3 linked regions of the Coturnix japonica genome follow. The protein of the gene in region 1 purifies or fractionates together with the protein of each later gene. This does not show direct contact. Links are inferred from orthologs where the notes say so. Each region holds a gene or a part of one and is shown in the gene's direction. Other genes may lie near its edges. The genes, in order: USP36, DHX33 and GNL2.

Region 1 (6,553 bases):
GCAGCTGCTGACCTTCAGCCCAAACAGTCTCACTGTGTGCCCACCAATTACCCTGCTGTATTTATAGAGCGCAACCCGATCAGCTCTTGTGCTGTGCCAGGTGATAGCAGGCAGCAGGGCTGGCCCTGCATGTGTCCCCACTGCACCCCCAGCACCTCTCTATAGGGACACAACTGCCATCCCCATCTCTGGGCACAGGGGTGGCTGTGACCTGTGCAGCTGTGGGTCAGGGTGAAGCTCCCACCGGTGAGGTCAGTGCCACGTGCCGGGCACTCACGTGTGGCTCCGTGTCCTTGTGCTGTGCTGGTGGGGTGACACAGCTTTTGTGCCTGCATGATGTGGAGGCTCCATGTGCCAATAGCCAGTGGCTGGCAGGGAGCTGTGGCCAGGCACCTCTGTGATTGCATGGTGCAAAGGCAGTGGGCACCGGGTAGGTCGGCCCTGTATTGGGTACTGGGGGCTCCTTTCTATACCCAGAGGTGAGCTCCACTGCCCTTGGGTCTCTCCATTGTGCTGGGCATTGCAGGCACTGGGCTGGGATGTGAATTAATTAATGGTGGTGGACAAATAGTGCTCCCAGGATGCTGATAATGGGGAGTGGCCATGCTGTCCCTCTGTGGGTTAGGCTACCAGCTGGGGAGATATGGGGCTGGGGGGGGCTGTGCTCTTGCCCCCAGCGCCTGCCCATCTCCATGCCTTTCCCTTGCAGTGATCCGAGCAAAGGCCGTCTCTGCAAAGGAGGTGGATTCGGGGAATGACATTTATGGGAACCCCATCAAGCGAATCCAGTATGAAGTGAAGCAGATCAAGGTATGGAGTGGGCACCTTTGGGATGGGCACCGTGGGGTGGGTGGGGGTTGGGTGTTGCTGCTCACACCTGCACTCTGTCCTCAGATGTTTAAGGGCCCCGACCAGGACATCGAATTCATCTACACGGCGCCATCCACAGCAGTGTGTGGGCAGCCACTGGACACAGGAGGCAAGAAGGAGTACCTGATTGCAGGTAGGAATGGGCACTGACCCACATCCAAGGGGGGGTTGGACCCAGCAGCCCCCAGGTGTGTGTGTGTGAGTGGCTTTATGTGGCCTCTCCCCAGGCAAATCGGAGGGCGATGGCAAGATGCACATCACGCTGTGTGACCTGGTTGCCACCTGGGACTCACTGAGCCCTACCCAGAAGAAGAGCCTCAACCAGAGGTACCAGATGGGCTGTGAGTGCAAGGTGAGTGCCCTGACCCAGGACCCACACCTGGGGCATCCCTATGGGTAGGTGGGGGGCTGTAGGGACGGGTGCTGACCAGCTCTACCCTGTGCAGATCTCACGCTGCCTCTCCATCCCGTGCTTCGTCTCCTCCTCGGATGAGTGCCTCTGGACAGACTGGGCGATGGAGAAGATCGTGGGCGGGCGGCAGGCCAAGCACTACGCCTGCATCAAGAGGAGCGACGGCTCATGCGCCTGGTACCGCGGCATGGCCCCCCCCAAGCAGGAGTTTCTCGACATCGAGGACCCCTAAGCCAACCGAGTGCATTCCAGTAGCCAGTAGGAAAGCCCAGCGAGATGTTAGACTGGTCCACGCTGACATCGGGGCCTGGAGACAGCATGAAAACCCACACAGCCCCGAGGGGCCGCAGGGCATGGAGCTGCCGTGTGTGCATGGGGCGGGGGGGGGGCTCACTGCAACCGTGCATACCCTGCAATACCTGCACCCTGCGACCCCATTCCCTGCAGGCTGAATGCTGATGAGCTGCCCTCGGTCTGCAGGGGCACAGCTGCCAACTGGAGCTACCCAGCACCAGCACCGTGCCGTCCTCCATCCCATCCCTTGCTGTGGGGTGCCAGAAGGGTGCAGCTTGGCACCAGCTGCTCCCACCTGCAGGAGCCATGGGGCTCTCACCCACTGTAGCCCTTAGGGGCCGAATGGGGTTCACCCCTCGGAGGAGAGGGGGATGGCTGCAGGACACCGACCCCACACCCCCCCTCTCTGAGCCATTTCCCCATACACACGGCCGGCCCCAGCTCGGGGTATTTCATGCTGTACATCCCCATAGGGTGACGATGTGGCTCTGGACCAGTCTGGGCAACTTGAAGGTGTTAAAAGAAACAGTGAAAGAAAGGAAAGAAAAAAAAAAAACAAGAAAAAAAAGAAAAAAAAAGAAAAAAAACAACCCCAACCAACCCCACCCAGCCTCTAATCAGTCCCATATAGGACTCCCGTTCGCTTCTGTATGGTTATATCATATGTGCCATTTACTCCTGTCTCTGCTGGTAGCCTGTCTCTGAGTTTAATACCCCCCACTGTTCTGCCATCAGCTCTATCATTCCCGTGCTGTGATTATTTTGTCGTTTGTTTGGTTTATTGTTTATTTTTGTCGGGGGTTTTTGGGTTTGATTTCGGGGTTTTATTTCCCCCTTTAGGCGTTAGAATTGCACTTATTTTTCTAAAGGGGCTCCACAGTGGGGCAAAAAGGGGGGGGTTGGGGGGGGGGGGGGAATGATGGAGGGGCTGTGGGGCAGCGCTGGGGCAGGCCCCAACCCCCGGCCCCCCCTAAAGCCCCCCCTTGGAGCCGCTTTAATTTATGGCCGTGGCTCTGCTTTGGGGTCAGCAGCTCGATGTGGTGTTTAAAAAAAGGAGGGGAAAAAAAAGAGGTTAAAAAAAAAGAGACAAAAAAGTTTACGTATAGTTATTTTCAGATCTCTGCTTGATAAGTATTAAAGTCAGATGTATCTAACGTGCTGCCGTGATTTAAAGCTGGGCTTGGGGGGTGGGTTTTTCTTGTTTTTTTGGGGGGGGGCGTGGCCATGTGATTATAGGGGCGTGCTTTGCGTTAGACCCTGCCCCCATAATGGGGGTGGTGCGGAAGTGGTTCGTGTCGGCGGCGCCACGCGGGAGCCGCCCATTGAAGGCGGTGACACGTGCGTGGACGGGACCCGGATGGTGCGTGTGGACCGGGCCGGGCCGGGGGGACGGGGCTGGGTGTACGGCGGGTGGTTCGGGGGGGGCGGGGGAGGTTCGGAGCCCGCGTGGTCTGTGCCGCATCTCTGCGCTGCGTGGGGCCGCTGCGGAGCGACGGTACCGGGCGGGGCGGCACGTGGTGGCGGGGCTCAAGGTCGCGGGTGGCGGTGGGGGCCGGGGATGGGGGAGAACGGAGCTAAATGGGGCTGAATGGGGCCGGATTCGGCCGCTCCTCGTGGCGCCCCCCGCTCACCCCCCCTCCGCCCATCCCCCAGCCCGGCCCCGCGATGCCGATCGTGGAGAAGCTGCGGGAGGCGCTGAAGCCGGGCCGCAAGGAGCCGAGCGAGGACGGGGAGCTGGGCCGGCTGCTGGCCGCCTCGGCCAAGAAGGTGCTGCTGCAAAGGATCGAGTTCGAGCCTGCGAGCCGTGGGCTGTCCGGGCAGCTGGAGCTGCTGCGGGGCAAGTACCGCCCGCTCAACGCCAGCACCGGGACCAACGCGCCCCGCCCGCCCCCACCGGAGGGGCCCAGCAGGAAGCACGGTGCGTGCCTCTCCCCAGGCAAATCGGAGTGTGTATATGGGGGGGGTCCCGGTGAAGCCCTCCGCTCACCGCCCTCCATCCCTCAGGAGGCGATCACGGACCCGGGGATGGTGTCCCCGCCCCGCAGAAGGTGCTGTTCCCCGCAGAGCGGCTCTCCTTGAAGTGGGAGCGTGTCCAGCGGGTGGGCGCCGGGCTGCACAACCTGGGCAATACCTGCTTCCTCAACGCCACCCTGCAGTGCCTCACCTACACGCCGCCCCTCGCCTGCTACCTGCTGTCCAAGGAGCACAGCCGTGCCTGTGAGTGGGGTGTGGGATAGTGCTGTAGGGCTGGGGGGGGGTTATATATGGGGGGAGGGCTGCCCTGGGCTGGGTTGGCCCCCAATGGCTGCAGAACTGCCTGGGGTGGTTCCTGGTGGCACGGCCCACAGCCTGTCGTCAGTGCCCCATTCATAAAGCTCAGCTCTGCCCTATATACAGACCTGCTGGCTTGTCTGGGAGGTGCTGGTGCCCTGTGTGCCACCCTTACAGATGGGTGTTCTCATCTGCAGCGTTATCTGTGACCTAGGCACTGCCAGCTGGTGTGTCATATGCTTGTCCTTGTCCCCTGGGCTGCACTGTGCTATAGCATTGAGCTCATGGGGAGGGCTGTGCTGCATGGCCACAGGGGTTCCCCTTCTCTCTCACCCCCTCCATCCCTCCTGCCTTTGTCCCCAGCGTCCTTTCTTCTCTCCTGCAGGTCACCAGGGAGGTTTCTGCATGATGTGCGTTATGCAGAACCACATGATCCAGGCTTTTGCCAACAGCGGCAACGCCATCAAGCCGGTGTCCTTCATCCGAGACCTCAAGAGTAAGGATGGGTCCTTCCACGCTGTGCTCCCCTGCTGTGACTCACGAGGCTGGGGCAGGTCCTGGCAGTGAGTGGCTCGGAGCTGATTCATGGAGGCTGAGCTGCCGCAGGACCACATGGGGCTGCCCCACAGCTTGGCTTTGGGGGGGGGCATAGAGGCTCTGTATGCAGGATTTGAGCCCTTTTTTCCCTGCAGAGATTGCCCGGCACTTTCGCTTTGGCAGCCAGGAGGATGCACACGAGTTCCTGCGTTACACCATCGATGCCATGCAGAAGGCCTGCCTGAGCGGCTGCACCAGGTACACACAGCTCTGAGTACTGGGGTACTGAGGCCATCTCTGCTCCATGATACAGCCCTGGGCTGTGCCCTGCTGTGGGGCTGAGACCCAGGGCACCAGCACTGCATCCACCTTCAGTGCAAGGCTCTGAGCTGCAGCTGGGAGCAACCATGCTTGGAGAGCATTGGGTACACACAGCCTGGTGCTCCCTGAGCTCAGGCACTGGGATCCACAAAACAGCAGAAGCACTGCATCTTCCCTGTCCTTATCACAGTCTGTGGTTGGTGCGGGACACAGGGGTGGCCTTTGCATTGTGGTGTGGAAGAGCAGTGATAGATGTGGTGTTTCTCTTCCAGGTTGGATCGCCAGACCCAGGCCACCACGCTGGTTCACCAGATCTTTGGTGGCTACCTGCGGTCCCGTGGTGAGTGCTGCTGCTGGGCTGCTGTTACCCCAACAGCTCTGCACTAAAAATCATTTGGGAAAATGGCCAAGCATGTGTAAATCACCCAAAGCTGTGCTTTGCCACTCCTGCCATGCCTGTGGGTCTTGGCTCCTGTTGTGGCAACACAGAAAGCTGTTGGCTGCGGGTCCTTGGCTCTTTGTCACTCATTGAAGGAACCAACGCTTGCAGCTGTTGAGCAACAATTGCTATGCCAGCAGCCTTCCTCCCTGCCAAGCTGCAAATGCCCAACAGAAATGTTGGTGCTGGCATCCCAGAGCCCAGACCCATAGAGGGGCAGCGCTGCAGCTGCTGAATGGCAGGTGCAGATGTAGCAGGGTGCACTCACTGCTCTTTCTTTTGCAGTGAAATGCTCCGTGTGTAAGAGTGTCTCAGATACCTACGACCCCTTCCTGGATGTGTCCTTGGAGATCAGGGTATGTCAGTGGGCACTGTGTTATGGTGTAGTGTGGACAGGTCACACATGCCCTGAGCTCTGCCCTGTCCTTGCAGCAAGCTGCAAACATCGTGCGGGCGCTGGAGCTGTTTGTGAAATCAGACATGCTGAGTGGGGAGAACGCCTACATGTGTGCCAGGTGAGGGGGGTCCCATGGTGTGGAGTAGCGGAAAGTAAGGTGGTACAGATGCAGCCCCAGCTGGGACGTGTGGCTGTGATAGAGCCGACCCCATTCCAGCTGTATGGCTGGGAGGGAAAGGCCTGGGCAGCAGCAGATGGTGGCCATGAGCTGATGCTTTCATTCAGTGCAATGGATTCCATGAGGTGTGTCCCAGCTGAGGGCAGTCACCTGGCTGTGGAGCAGCTTGGATAGCTGGAGCTCTTCTGTGTAGGTGCAAGAAGAAGGTACCAGCCAGCAAACGCTTCACCATCCACCGAGCCTCCAACGTCCTCACGCTCTCATTGAAGCGTTTTGCCAACTTCAGTGGAGGCAAAATCACAAAGGTGAGAATTGGGCAGTGCAGGGCTGGGGCTGTGCCACGGCTCATAGGGTTCCATTGCAGCATAAGGTCTGCTGCAGCCCGGTAGCCTTCCCCAGGCTGTGCTGCAGGGTCAGCACCTTCCTTGCTGCAGTCCTAGCCAGGGCTGAGCTGGGTGCCCTCTGGAGAGGGATCATAGGGTGGTTGGAGCTGCTTTTGCTCTAGTGGTAAAGACCCCTGAGCCATCCTCTCCCCGCAGGACGTGGGGTACCCTGAGTTCCTGAACATTCGCCCCTACATGTCTCAGAACAATGGTGATCCGGTCATGTATGGACTCTATGCAGTGCTGGTGCACTCGGGGTACAGCTGCCATGCAGGACACTACTATTGCTATGTGAAGGTGAGCCCTAGTAGCACCTTCTTGGGGTGCTGGTGCTGCTCTGGGCAGGGCCTGACCCCAAGCTCTGCTCCTAGGCCAGCAATGGGCAGTGGTACCAGATGAATGACTCCCTCGTGCACTGCAGCAACATCAAGGTGGTCCTCAATCAGCAGGC
Region 2 (6,818 bases), on another chromosome or scaffold:
GTTATTAGATGACAGCATTTTTCTTGTAGCATGAGAAGCAGTAGTATTTTAAGTGCTTGACTTTGTGTCTGTCACTTCTATTAGATGTTCGGCTGATCTTTCTTTTTGCTGCTTGACAGAGTTATGGAAGTAGATGAGGGGACTACTCAGGTGGATAATCATGCCTAGGTTATCTCATAAATGCTTTTGCTTCAGTGTTTTCATGCTGAATTTTAAGTGTTTATTCACGCTCTGGGTGTGCTGCATCCTGCCCACAGGTGCTGGATTTGATTGACCATAAGCGTGGTTTACTTGACCCTGGGAAAGAAGAATTGTATGAAAAGCGTGGGGTTATAGATCAAGCTGTCTGATTCTTATTGCTTGACCTCAAACTATTATTTGGTGACTTTCTTTAACTTCCCGTTGGAGATCTTTGGCCTGTTTGTGAACTTGGTTTTCTTGGGTCAGGCGTTCACAATAATGCTTGTGTACGTATGGAGCCGCAGGAATCCCTACGTCCGTATGAACTTCTTTGGGCTTCTCATCTTCCAAGCTCCGTTTCTACCTTGGGTACTGATGGGCTTTTCGCTGCTTTTGGGGAACTCCATCATCGTGGATCTCCTAGGTAAGGAGCTTGAAGAATCATAAAGCTAATGGAGCAAGAAACATGGGGGGAGAAACCAAACCCTTAAGGTTGATTCATAAGGTGTGTTTCATTGGGTTTTGTATTTCTAAACTTCATTATATTTTCTGTGAAGAACAGTATGTTTGGTTGTTTTTTACCCCTGAAAATTCTTGTTAAGTATCTGTGAGCTGTAAAGAAGTATGGATTGGGAAGTAACCATTTGGTATTTGTTCATGTACTAGGCATTGCAGTCGGGCATATATATTTTTTCTTAGAGGACGTCTTTCCCAATCAGCCTGGTGGTGGAAGGCTGCTGAGAACACCATCTGTCCTGTAAGTATTGCTTTCTGGTTTGGAACAGATAAAGAAACAGTGCTTGTGTGGAAAATGCTGGATAACTCAAACTAAGTGACTTCTAGTAAGCAAGGGAATTCGAGTCAGAGCTGCGCTGTGTCTGTACTTCTGTATCTGACTTGTGTGTTGCCAAACAAGGGGGGGGATTGTGTCAAGTGTGTGAGTGGGAGCTTTCATATTTAGGGGAAGGGCTGAGGGGTTTGTGTAGTCCTTGATTTGTTAATCCTTAGTAGCCTTTACCAACTTCTGCCTGTTGGTGGCACCAAAAGTGCACGTGAGGAATAAGAATCCAGCTGTGTATGAACAGGATAACTATTAAGTGAAATACAGCTATTTTTTGTCTGATAAACATCCTAATTTCACAACTTTGGCAGGAGGTGGTGTTGTTTATATTACTGAGCACTGCTCCGACTCTGTTGATGTATGTGTGTGGAATTGGAGTGGTCTGGATTTCATTATTAAATGTGTCTTTCTGCTTTCCAGGAAAGCAATATTTGATACACCAGAAGATGATCCCAATTACAATCCCTTACCAGAAGAACGGCCGGGGGGGTTTGCATGGGGAGAAGGTCAACGTCTTGGAGGCTAATGAGATGGCTGTGCCAAAACCCAGCAACGGCTGGGAGAGATGAACCTGGAGTTCTGTCCTGGGGAATCCCTCGTTCTCCATCGCAGAAAGAACACCATTCATCAGCTCTATGGTTTCGAATACAAGCACTTTATGAAATGGCAAGTCTAATCCAAGACACTTCCAGGCTACCAGTGTCTTCCTTAGCCAGGGAATTTATTGTGCTGGGAATGCAAATGTTAATCCAGTGGAGCCAAAAACCCTAAAACTGGAAACCATTTACATAACTTGGGTTAACAAGACCACGAGTACTTGTTTGAAGTGATTTCTAAAGCATTTTTTTCCAAGTTATTTGATACAGGAAAAGATATGGGGAACTTTACAGGGGACAAAACAAAAAAAAAAGCCTTTTTTAAACTCCTTTTTTATTCTTGGATAAAACAGCTTCAAGATGGGTGAGAGTACAAGTCCCTGTTTCAGTGGTGAATGTTTTTAGTCTGAGATGATGATGTCTCTGGTCTTGTTTGAAGTGTCAGAAATACACGATTGAACATAATGTGATTGAACATAATGTAGTGTTATTGGGACGTAGCTGTGTGTGAATACAGGTACAGGCTGTGACTGCTTGGTTCCATGGGTCCACACGTTCCTCAGAGCACCAGGAAAGAGGGTCTGTGTGGAGCTGGAGCTGCTCAAATATCTCATATAATGAGTTGAATAAAACGTTTTCTGGATTCTTTGGTTAATATTAGTATGATCGCCCTATATTCTGAAGGCAGAGATGGAATAGCGGCTCCTCTCAGCCATCGCCCCGCCCTCATCGCGCTGTATGTAGGCGGGCACCACAAGATGGCGGCCGGGCGGCCCCTGTGTGGCGGCTGACGGTGCGTTGCCGCCATGCTGCCCGGCTCCCCCGCCGCTCCCCGCCGGCTCCCGCAGCCCCCAGCCGCCTCTCAGCGCCGCGATCTGCCCATCTTCCAGGCTCGGGGGCCGCTGCTCAGCCAGCTGCGGGGCCTGGAGTGCGCCGTGCTCATCGGTGAGCGGCCGGGGAGGGAGGGATGCGGTGCTGAGGTGACTGCTGTGTGGTGAGGTGAGGTGAGGTGTCGGCCATGAGGGAGCTGCCGTAAGAAACGAGTTGGGACCTTTAGTTTGAAGGTGATCTCTATGGGAAAACAGGGTTTTCTATGTTCTCTGCCCGGTTCTGAGCTCCTCAGCTGAAAAAAAACGAGGGTCTCCTAGAGAGAATCCAGCTACAAAAGATGATGGGGCCTGGAGCATCGCCCATACAACGAGCGACCGAGGGGCCTGGCTGCAGCAGGGAGTTGGACTTCACGATTCCTAGAGGTCTCTTCCGATCCCTGCGGTTCTGATTCTGTTCCCTTGATGTTCTGCAGGAGAAACAGGCTCAGGAAAGACCACTCAGATCCCTCAGTACCTCTACGAAGCAGGAATCGGCCGCCAGGGCATCATTGCTGTGACACAGCCTCGCAGAGTAGCAGCCATATCCTTAGCGACCAGAGTGTCAGATGAAAAGAGGACGGAGCTGGGGAAACTGGTACGTGCCTTCCCAGGGCCTTTAGGGAGCTGTTTTAGTGCTGCAGTGTGGTTAATTGAATGGATAAGGTAAAAAATTGAGTCCTAAGGGTCCTCAGTAATATGCTTGAATGGGGAAAATGGCTTTCTGCTTCTTTTGTGGCTCAGGGAAACCCATGTTTGACTGTAGTTCTTTACGTGGTGATTATTTGAGTTCTGTTAATAGGAAAAATCTAATGGGCTACAGTGTTGGGAGCTCCCTTTGGGTGTCACATCGGCCTGGCTGCTGGTGGCACTATGTAGTTCTCCTTTGTGGTACAACAGCAGTGAGAAAAGTAAATCTTCTGTCATGATCTGTTCCTTAGGTTGGCTACACCGTGCGCTTCGATGACCTGACGTCTGATGAAACTAGGATCAAGTTTTTGACGGATGGCATGTTGCTTCGTGAAGCCATTGGGGATCCCATCCTGCGGAAATACAGCGTTGTCATCCTGGATGAAGCCCATGAGAGGACGATCCATACTGATGTGCTCTTTGGAGTGGTGAAAGCTGCCCAAAAGAAAAGGAAAGAGTTGGGCAAACTGCCCCTAAAGGTGCGTTCAGCTGGGATGGCAGGGATGGGGCTGGGACTCTGTGCCTTATGAGCAACACCTGGAATTTACAGTGTGTTTCAAACATTAGCCTTGTGTGTTTTCCTTTCCTAAAGAATCCCTTTAAATCTGAATAGTTCAGGGTGGCCAAATTACAGTGTGTTGCTGAGAGTGTCTTGGAGACAGGAGCTTTCTCTCTGTTAGTGCAGCTGTTACGATATGCTTGTACTGGGACATACGTGTCAGGTCATGATTTGGAGTGTGCAAGTATACACCGAGCTGCGTGAATGCACCTTGGTTTTGATGGGGAAGGCATGATTCCTGCTTGCTGGTATGATCCTTGCAGTCTGTTCAACAGGCTGATGCGCAGCCTCGCTTTGTGGATGCTCAGCTCTGTTTATTAAATGTCCAAAAAGAATTTTATTGTGCCTTCTCACTCATTTTCTCATACCAGCGTATCACACTTGTTAAAGCCATCAGCTTTGGTATTACACAAGCAAAGAACCGTCCCAAACTCTGTGTGCTTTCTGCTGTTCCGAGTCTGCATTGCAGCCTTGGGAAGTTGGCTATTGGTTAGTCCTGGCCATAAGTCCCGTGCTGGATGTGAACTGCTGTGCTGACCCATTTTATGCTCACACTGTAGGTGATTGTCATGTCAGCTACGATGGACGTCGATCAGTTCTCCCAGTACTTCAATGGAGCTCCTGTTCTCTATTTAGAAGGCAGGCAACATCCCATTCAGGTCTTCTACACCAAACAGCCTCAGAGCGATTACCTCCAAGCAGCACTGGTGTCAGTCTTCCAGATCCACCAGGTATGGTTATCTCATCAAGTCTGCACCTCCCTGGTACCACAGATTGTCAACTGGGGGTGCTTGGGTTACTGTGGCGAAGGCTTTGCTATGCAAAGTTCTCCGGTGTTAATTCATAATGAAATGTTTCTCTCACCTGAGTTTTCTGTGCTTTCTGACTCGAATCCGGGTGCTTGCTGGCTTTCTCCCTTGCATGTTTTGGATGGATATGTAAATTTGAGTGATTTCTCCATCCTTGTTACAACCCAACACTGTAAAATGCTGTTTACCCTTTACCATTGGTGAATCCATTGGAATCGTAAGGCTATTCCACACCTTGCACAGGATGTGTCTTTTCTGTCATACATGCTTTGCTGACTTGCTAACAGGACAACATATTGCAAGACTTGCTGATATCACAAGCTCAGCTCTCACTCCCTGTCCAATCCATCATAACTTCTCCTGTGCTTTTCCCTCTGGCTCCAGGAAGCTCCCTCTTCTCAGGACATCCTCGTGTTTCTAACGGGTCAGGAAGAGATTGAAGCAATGACCAAAACCTGTCGAGACATTGCCAAGCATCTCCCTGATGGCTGCCCGCAGATGACGGTGATGCCTCTTTATGCTTCTCTGCCCTACTCTCAACAACTCCGAGTCTTTCAGGCTGCCCCCAAGGTGAGAGAACGTGATGGACGATCAGAGTCAGTTTGTCTGTTTGATTGTGTGAATGTTTGGAAAAAAAAAACATCGAATTTCAGGACTTAAAATCTTGTATAGCAAACATAGTACATGATTATAACATGCTGTAATAGTATGAAGGCTTGACCCATGCTGGTAGTGCTGTTTGTCTACTGCAGCTAATCTGAGATGGCTTCTGACTGCTACAGTTTGCTCTTCCTCATAGGGCTGCCGCAAAGTGATCCTCTCCACCAACATCGCAGAAACCTCCATCACCATTTCGGGTATAAAGTATGTTGTGGACACAGGCATGGTCAAAGCAAAGAAGTACAATCCTGGTGAGGAACGTTAAGGAACAATAGAGATGCTGTTGTAGAAGTTTGTGTTTTTTGAAGCAATGTGTCCCATTGGCAGCTGGTATAAAACACCCTCTGCGCTGTCTAAATTAACATCCCAGGTTTCAGACGTGTACAGTAGTTGGACAGGAAACTCCTGGGGTTTTTTGTTAACAAGTTTATGTTTTTCAAGGTCCTGTATTATGCCGTCATTGACAGAAATGGTGCTTTTCCATACTTAGAAATTGGTCTGGAAGTGTTGGCAGTCCAGCGAGTGTCAAAGGCCCAGGCCTGGCAACGGACGGGGAGAGCAGGGCGAGAGGACAGCGGGGTCTGCTACCGGCTGTACACGGAGGATGAGTTTGAGAAGTTTGACAAAATGACGATACCTGAGATACAGAGGTGAGAACATGTGGTGAAACTATTAGTGTCAAAGAACTGCAAGGTCTGGTCAGGGGGTTTCTCCTTTCAGTCCGAACTAGCAGCCTATTATTACCTCCCCCACTTGGGTGCTAAGATAATGTGGGGTGTGCCACTCCTACAGGCTCCACCAGGAGTCATCTCCGTGTTGTCCATTGGGGCAGTTGGCAAAATACTTGAGAGTCCATCAGTGGGGTGGGTGCTTGGCCCTACATGAGGCTCCAGGGTCTGCCCATTCAGGAAGTCATGGAATAGTCTCTTTCAAGTTAGAGCACAGATCTGAGGACTCTGATTTCTTCAGAGTTTTGGGTGTTTGATGCTGTTATCTGCCTATAAGGTGAAATAATCTCAGTTGTCTTTTTCTGCCTATGCAGGTGTAACTTGGCCAGTGTGCTGCTTCAGCTCTTGGCCCTGAGGATTCCCAACATACTCACCTTTGACTTCATGTCCAAACCATCTCCTGGTAAGTGCTAACTTATTCCGTATGGAATTGCTTACAAATAATGGTTACAGCAGAAAGATGGAGAGCTCAGCTTCCAAACAGAGCAGTGAGCACCTTTTGATCATAGAACTGTGCCAGGGAAAGCCATAGAGAATCTCACACGACTTCTGCTCAAAGCAAGAGATAGCAGCTTTAGTTTTGCATGTTTTATTGCTGTGTAAATTGGAAAAGATGATTGTTCTGCTGGACAAAGTGGGATACATCATTGCTTGGGGCATTCATTTCTCTGAACTGATAGACTGAAAGTATTGTCCCTCTGGTCTGAGGAAAGAGCAGTGATGTTTGCTGCTGGTCCCTCCAGTTGGTGCTGGCAGGAGTGTTCATGTCACAGCCCAAACCTTCTTGTTTTGACAGATGCTATTCAAGCAGCCATTGAGCAGCTGGACCTGCTGGGGGCTGTGGAGCAAAAGGAAGATCAGCTTGTCCTGACTCCCCTGGGAAGGAAGA
Region 3 (6,056 bases), on another chromosome or scaffold:
CTCAAGCTGGGATGTATTGTATGAAAGCTACTTGTGTGTGTATGTGTGTTTGTATCAGTTATCCTGTAGTACTTAGCTTGTACCCAGATGCTTCTTATGAATAACTAGAGTTCAAAGCACTAAGATGATTAGTAAGGTGTTTTTCAGAGATATTGCCCTGTGATTTGACACAGCAAACAGGTAAAATATCAAGCCTAGGATCATCACAGGGCAGTGTATGCCAGCAGGTGTGATAGCTCATCCAACTAACTTATTGCCTTTGTGCAGGCATAGGCTTAGATGGGTACTAAGGGGGTGAATAGTGGCTCTAGTGAATCAAAGTGCTATAGGCATGTATGGTTTCATTATGTATTTACATGCATTTTCATTCTTCACTTAGAAACAAACGTGGCAAAGTGATTAAACCTCTGCAGTATCAGTCGACAGTGGCACCAGGCACAGTTGCAAGAGTGGAACCAAATATTAAATGGTTCGGTGAGTTTTCTTTCAGGCTCTCCATTCAACAAGCTTGGATTGGTTGGTATTTTTTATTGCAGTTGAAGTATTGATATTTTCATGGTGTAATCTGAGTCTCTGAAGCAGTTAAAGGTGATGAATGGTGTAGATGTAGCCTTTATTCTTACACATAGGGAATACTCGTGTGGTCAAGCAGGCATCCCTGCAGAAGTTTCAAGAAGAAATGGAAACTGTCATGAAAGATCCATACAGAGTGGTCATGAAACAAAGCAAGTTACCTATGTCTCTTTTCCACGATCGGATTAAACCTCACGTGAGTGTCATTCATCTGCATTGGGTTAAGGCTGTTTTATGTGTTATATGTGGGAAACTGGCTACGTTTGGAGAAGCATTGGAGGAGGAATTGGGGCAAATATCTTGGAATGGGATATTTTTGAGGACACAATGCTGTGGATGTGATACAGAGGTTATGAAAGCAGTCTGGTTTGTGATGTCTATGGTATGGAATTCACATTTTCTCACAGGAAATCTACTTGAAAGCACTCTAGGTTAGAATATGGCATTTAAAATGACTATATATAAACTTGTCACCTTCTGTCCTAATGCTTCTAATGGCTGATGTGACAGTGCTGAGGAAGCATTGTTCTGTTAGCGTGTTTTCTCTCATGCACTGAATCTGCCTGAACTCAAATATGTGCTTTTTATCTTGAATCAGAAGTTCTGCGTGCTGCTTTCGTTTCAAGGCAAATTGAGTTTCAAGTGCCTAAAGCTTTAGTTATTACCAGTCTGCTTTCATAACCCCTGAAGTATTATTATTTTGGATTATCGTTAGATATTTTTCACATGGAAAGTTGCCACGTTTGTGTCATAAAAATGTTACCTAAATGAAGGGAAAAGTTACTGTAAACTAAAATAAGTGTTACAAAAACAAATGATTTCTTTCAGCTATGAACTGCTGCCGTTCCAAGAAAAGTTGGCATTCATTACAGGCTTCAAATTTTACAGTTTTGACTGTAATTATCCCTGACAAAAATCTGTGAATTTGGCGAGATTTGTGCACTTGTTAGAAAAATAAGGAATGATCAAAGATAGCAGCTGAATTTTCATCATTGCAGCCTTAATTACTTTGGACATCATTTATGCAGGAAGAAGTGAAGCATGGTTCTTTGGCAAGTGCAGCCTGGTTTGGTGCTTGTTAAATATCCGTGTTTGTGCTTCTCGAAATTAAGCTGCAGAACTCAAACACTGTTAGGAAAGTGCCTATGACTCTTGTTAGAGGTTACAGAGTTGCATTGCATTGAGATCTTGTAGGCTGCATGTCGTGAGAGATGGAATATTAGAGATTGTGGGTGTGTTTTCTTATTTTAACAACCCATCTTTCCATAGACCTCCAGAGTTCACATTCTTGACACAGAAACATTTGAAACAACATTTGGCCCCAAAGCACAGAGGAAAAGGCCAAACCTTGCTGCAAGTGATGTACAGTCCCTGCTGGAGAATGCTGAAGCCTCATCAGAATGTTACGATCAGGGCAAAGACAGAGACCTGGTCGTTGAAGACACTGGAGTAAGGTAGATAGGAAGGAGAAATTATTCTCTATTTACATTTCTTATACATCTTCATTCATTTAAAAAAGCGCATCTAGTTCCTCTATCGATGCTGTTACTGCCTGATTGACGAGTATGCAATGAGAAATAAGCTGAATTTGGCTGGATTTTATTTTAAGGCTGTTTCATCCCAATATATTTAACTGAACTCCTGCTTCCATGGGACCCTTCTGTCTTCATTGCTAATTCATTTCCTGTTGCATATCTGAAAATTTGTGAACTCAGATATTGGGTTAAATAAGGGACTGGGTCTAATCTCCTCTTTTCTCTGTAAATGGCTAACTGGCTTTAGAGAAGACAGCACTACAGCCCTGTTATTGTGGTTGTTGATGTCTCTGGTGATCCACTTCCAGGGATGAAGCACAAGAGGAAATATTTAAGAAAGGACAGTCAAAAAGAATTTGGGGTGAGCTGTACAAGGTAAGCAACACTTATAATTTGCAGCAGGTATTTGTCTGTATTTTAGCCTTTGTGAAGTCCGGTGCTGCAGCACAGCGTTGGAAATATTGTGTGACTCTGAAAAGCTCTCAGAACTGTACAGTTATGTCTGGCCATGTTAGGGAAGCTTTGATCTGCTGAATTTTCTGTAGAGCAAAGGTGTCTGTTCAGAGACATCCTTAGTGTATAATTCTCTTCCTTGTTTTCCTGTCGGCCTAACTGAACTGACTGATGTAAATCCATACACTCTTTTCTAGCATTGGACTGGTGTTGAACCAGACCATCAACTAGAACAGAAAGAAACAGTTGTAGAGTAGCAGGGAGATTCATTTTCAAGCTTCTAAGCTTGATTCTTGAGCTCTTGTCTCAGTGGAACATACATCCTTAAAATATATGATCCAAAGATGAGCTGGTAAAATGAACAATTCCTGGGGCTTTAGCACAAATAAACCAGTCAGATGCCCTTAAGTTTCTTTAGACTGAGGATGCATCGTGTTAATAAGATCTTCTTTGGGGTTCTCTGACCTTCCCCATGAGTTGCCACTGGTGCTAAAGGAATGAAGCCTGAGATTGAGTTAGATTTGTAAGTGCAGTTTGTTTGCTCTCAGTGACTGTTGTTAAACTGCTTGACTTGTCCCAAATTTCTGAATGTAGCTTAGAACTTTCTCATTTAGTCCTAGAAGTGCTGGGAATCATAGAGCAAAACAGATTTCAATAAGATTCTGCCAAAAATGCAGGAAATAGCTGTGAAACAAATTCTCTTGGCTTGAAGCAAGTCATGAAATGACAGCTCCCTGCTGTAGATTCTTAGTGGACTAACAGCAGGTTCCTACTTGGTTGTGTGTTTCATACTGATCCAGCAAACGCTCTTTATGTCCCGATCCTTTATAGAATGGATGAAGAACATTCTTTTTGCCCACTAAGGCAAATAACTTTACTGCTTGGTTGTAGTGTTTCCCTTCCCAAATGCTCCTAGAAGCTGCTCACAGCTCTCCAGCCTAAATTTGGAGGGGAGCAGGGAAGAGAGAGTAGAGATTGTTACAGGAAACTAACAGTCATTCCTAAAGGATGTAAGGTTTTATCCTATAACGATAAGAATTTAGAAGATTACTGTTTTATATTTTGGAAATGTGTATTATTTTCCTTCTGTGCGATATATGTGTATGTATGATATATATATATGTATTTCTTTTTCCAGGTGATAGACTCATCAGATGTTGTTGTTCAAGTTCTTGATGCCAGAGATCCTATGGGTACTCGCTCCCCTCATGTGGAATCTTATCTGAAAAAAGAGAAACACTGGAAGCATCTCATTTTTGTCCTGAACAAATGTGATCTTGTTCCTACCTGGGCTACTGTAAGCACAGCTTTGCCTCTTGTCCCTTGAATGTATTTTGTTCCTTTCATAGCCTCTAATTCTGTTGCCAGTCCTTGTTCTAGTCTCTTAAGGGCATAATGTAACTGGGTCAGTGGGAACTCTCTGCTTGCTTGCTGTAAAAGTAACAATTACCATTTAAATCAGTCCAAGTTTGGCTCAGTTGAGCAACAGTCACCAGCCACAAATTCTCTACTTCCTCTGTCTGGATTTAACTGTTCAGCTGATGTCTCCAGAGTATGCTAAATGTTAGTACGTTTAAGGTCCATGTCCACCACAGCTGGTCTGTTTTACATTGTTAAACTAATTAGCAATGAAGGCATTTAGGGGGAAATCATCTTTTTATGAAAACAATAGGCAGTGCTTTTAGCTATTGGGTTGATAAAATGCATCTAAGCTTCTTACGTGGCAACTTTTATAGATAGTTGTGTTATGTGACTCAAGTGAAGATGGTTTTTCTCACAATGAAATTGTTTCACTGCCTTTGCAGCACAGCATTCATAACTGAGCAGTGTTTTTCCTCTTTAGAAGCGCTGGGTTGCTGTCCTTTCCCAGGAATACCCAACACTTGCTTTTCACGCCAGCCTCACAAACCCTTTTGGCAAAGGTGCTTTCATACAGCTTTTAAGGCAGTTTGGAAAGGTAAAGAACAACTGTGGGGCTTTATATTGTTTGGGGTTGGGGTTAGTATGGGATTTATCTGTTTTAATGTGTGGGGTACAGTGCACTTTCACGTGGCCATTCTGTCAGCAAACAAGCTTCATTCTGTGGAAATGGAAAATACTTCCCCTGGACAGAGTATTTGAAGCAGCCTTTGCTTTTTTATACAACCAGAAGCTCCTAAAACTGCAATAGTAACTGTGTCATTTTCTATGAGGTATTAAAATGATGTGTCATTTCTTAACAGTTACACTCTGATAAGAAACAGATCAGTGTGGGTTTTATTGGATACCCAAACGTTGGCAAAAGCTCAGTGATCAACACGTTGCGGTCTAAGAAGGTCTGCAGTGTGGCTCCCATTGCAGGTGAAACTAAGGTAGGAAGGCGCTGCTCTTTTAAAGGTTAAAAAATAATATTATAAATATGCCACTGTGTTGTCAGAGGCAGAAAATATATAAAATGAGCTCATTAATGTTTCCAGGTCACTGAAGTTACACAAGCTGCATCACCCTGAGTCTGAGGGGTGGCTGATGAGCCAGGCGTTGTTCTGGAGTGCTGCTGCTCAAAAGCATTTCTGAGTTTCTATGTCTGTTGTGCAGTGCTGTGTGATCTGAACACTCAGCTGCACTGACTCAGTGTGTGCTAATGCCAAGTTTATGACTTCCGTATATTAAACCTGTGCATTTAAAAGCAGAACTAACAGTTGTGCATGAGAGGAGGTAACGTGGGGATCACTGATATCTTTCAGGTGTGGCAATACATTACTTTGATGAGGAGGATTTTTCTCATTGACTGCCCAGGGGTGGTGTATCCATCTGGAGACTCAGAAACAGACATTGTTCTGAAGGGAGTGGTATGTATCTGTGCTGTGTGCAGGGAAAATTCTTGCTGTTTTCACCATGGTGAGTTCAAAGAAGTGTCTGCACGCTTTCCAAAGGGTTGATACTTTACCATTCATTTTTAGGTTCAAGTTGAAAAGATTAAGAGCCCTGAAGATCACATTAGTGCGGTGCTGGAAAGAGCCAAGCCAGAGTACATCAGAAAGACATACAAAATTGATTTCTGGAAAGATACAGAAGATTTCCTTGAGAAGCTTGCTGCTAGGACTGGAAAACTACTAAAGGTTTGAGAGCATCCTGTATTTACAGGTTGGAAGAGCATGTGGGTTTGTTTCTGCACTGGAAGTGCGAAATACGTTTCAGTTGCAAAGAGATAATATAAAGATGGTATGCCCTGCAAACAAGGACAGAAACTGTTACTGAATTCTTTCAGGGTGGTGAGCCTGATCTGCAAACTGTCAGCAAGATGGTTCTCAATGACTGGCAGAGGGGCAGAATTCCGTTCTTTGTGAAGCCACCAAATGCAGAAGCAGCTGCTGAGGTAAGGATGTGAGGCTCGTGCCTCTTCTTGCATATTATTCCATTCTTCTAATGATACTCACTGATGCTTTTGCCAGAGCACCATGTAAATTGGGCTTTTCCTGACATGATTCAGAGCACCGGATAGCAAAGAACTCTTCC

Evidence for each region.
Region 2: the proteins of USP36 (region 1) and DHX33 purify together in Homo sapiens (affinity purification with mass spectrometry; 5 studies listed by BioGRID and IntAct, counting the BioPlex papers as one, with this or other methods). This does not show direct contact. The link is inferred for Coturnix japonica from reciprocal best matches to the Homo sapiens genes USP36 and DHX33.
Region 3: the proteins of USP36 (region 1) and GNL2 purify together in Homo sapiens (affinity purification with mass spectrometry; 3 studies listed by BioGRID and IntAct, with this or other methods). This does not show direct contact. The link is inferred for Coturnix japonica from reciprocal best matches to the Homo sapiens genes USP36 and GNL2.

What each region holds. Positions count from the first base shown.
Region 1 is NC_029533.1:4,608,336-4,614,888, reverse strand, and holds the start of USP36 (ubiquitin carboxyl-terminal hydrolase 36), read left to right. Parts: upstream 1-2,822; 5' UTR 2,823-2,933; coding exon 2,934-2,936; intron 2,937-2,966; exon of another isoform or gene 2,967-3,071; intron 3,072-3,229; coding exon 3,230-3,494; intron 3,495-3,580; coding exon 3,581-3,793; intron 3,794-4,232; coding exon 4,233-4,343; intron 4,344-4,539; coding exon 4,540-4,642; intron 4,643-4,977; coding exon 4,978-5,045; intron 5,046-5,429; coding exon 5,430-5,500; intron 5,501-5,576; coding exon 5,577-5,659; intron 5,660-5,912; coding exon 5,913-6,024; intron 6,025-6,258; coding exon 6,259-6,399; intron 6,400-6,473; coding exon 6,474-6,553. Other genes in the region: TIMP2 (metalloproteinase inhibitor 2), read left to right, coding at 710-810, 895-1,003, 1,098-1,222, 1,317-1,514. UniProt on the Homo sapiens protein: Deubiquitinase essential for the regulation of nucleolar structure and function. Required for cell and organism viability.
Region 2 is NC_029534.1:2,445,700-2,452,517, forward strand, and holds the start of DHX33 (ATP-dependent RNA helicase DHX33), read left to right. Parts: upstream 1-2,340; 5' UTR 2,341-2,423; coding exon 2,424-2,562; intron 2,563-2,920; coding exon 2,921-3,081; intron 3,082-3,424; coding exon 3,425-3,652; intron 3,653-4,292; coding exon 4,293-4,463; intron 4,464-4,925; coding exon 4,926-5,111; intron 5,112-5,340; coding exon 5,341-5,452; intron 5,453-5,691; coding exon 5,692-5,851; intron 5,852-6,243; coding exon 6,244-6,332; intron 6,333-6,725; coding exon 6,726-6,818. Other genes in the region: DERL2 (derlin-2), read left to right, coding at 409-604, 847-937, 1,442-1,547. UniProt on the Homo sapiens protein: Implicated in nucleolar organization, ribosome biogenesis, protein synthesis and cytoplasmic dsRNA sensing. Stimulates RNA polymerase I transcription of the 47S precursor rRNA.
Region 3 is NC_029538.1:3,325,486-3,331,541, forward strand, and holds part of GNL2 (nucleolar GTP-binding protein 2), read left to right. Parts: intron 1-379; coding exon 380-474; intron 475-629; coding exon 630-769; intron 770-1,842; coding exon 1,843-2,027; intron 2,028-2,416; coding exon 2,417-2,483; intron 2,484-3,699; coding exon 3,700-3,858; intron 3,859-4,404; coding exon 4,405-4,518; intron 4,519-4,783; coding exon 4,784-4,912; intron 4,913-5,284; coding exon 5,285-5,389; intron 5,390-5,500; coding exon 5,501-5,659; intron 5,660-5,808; coding exon 5,809-5,916; intron 5,917-6,056. UniProt on the Homo sapiens protein: GTPase that associates with pre-60S ribosomal subunits in the nucleolus and is required for their nuclear export and maturation.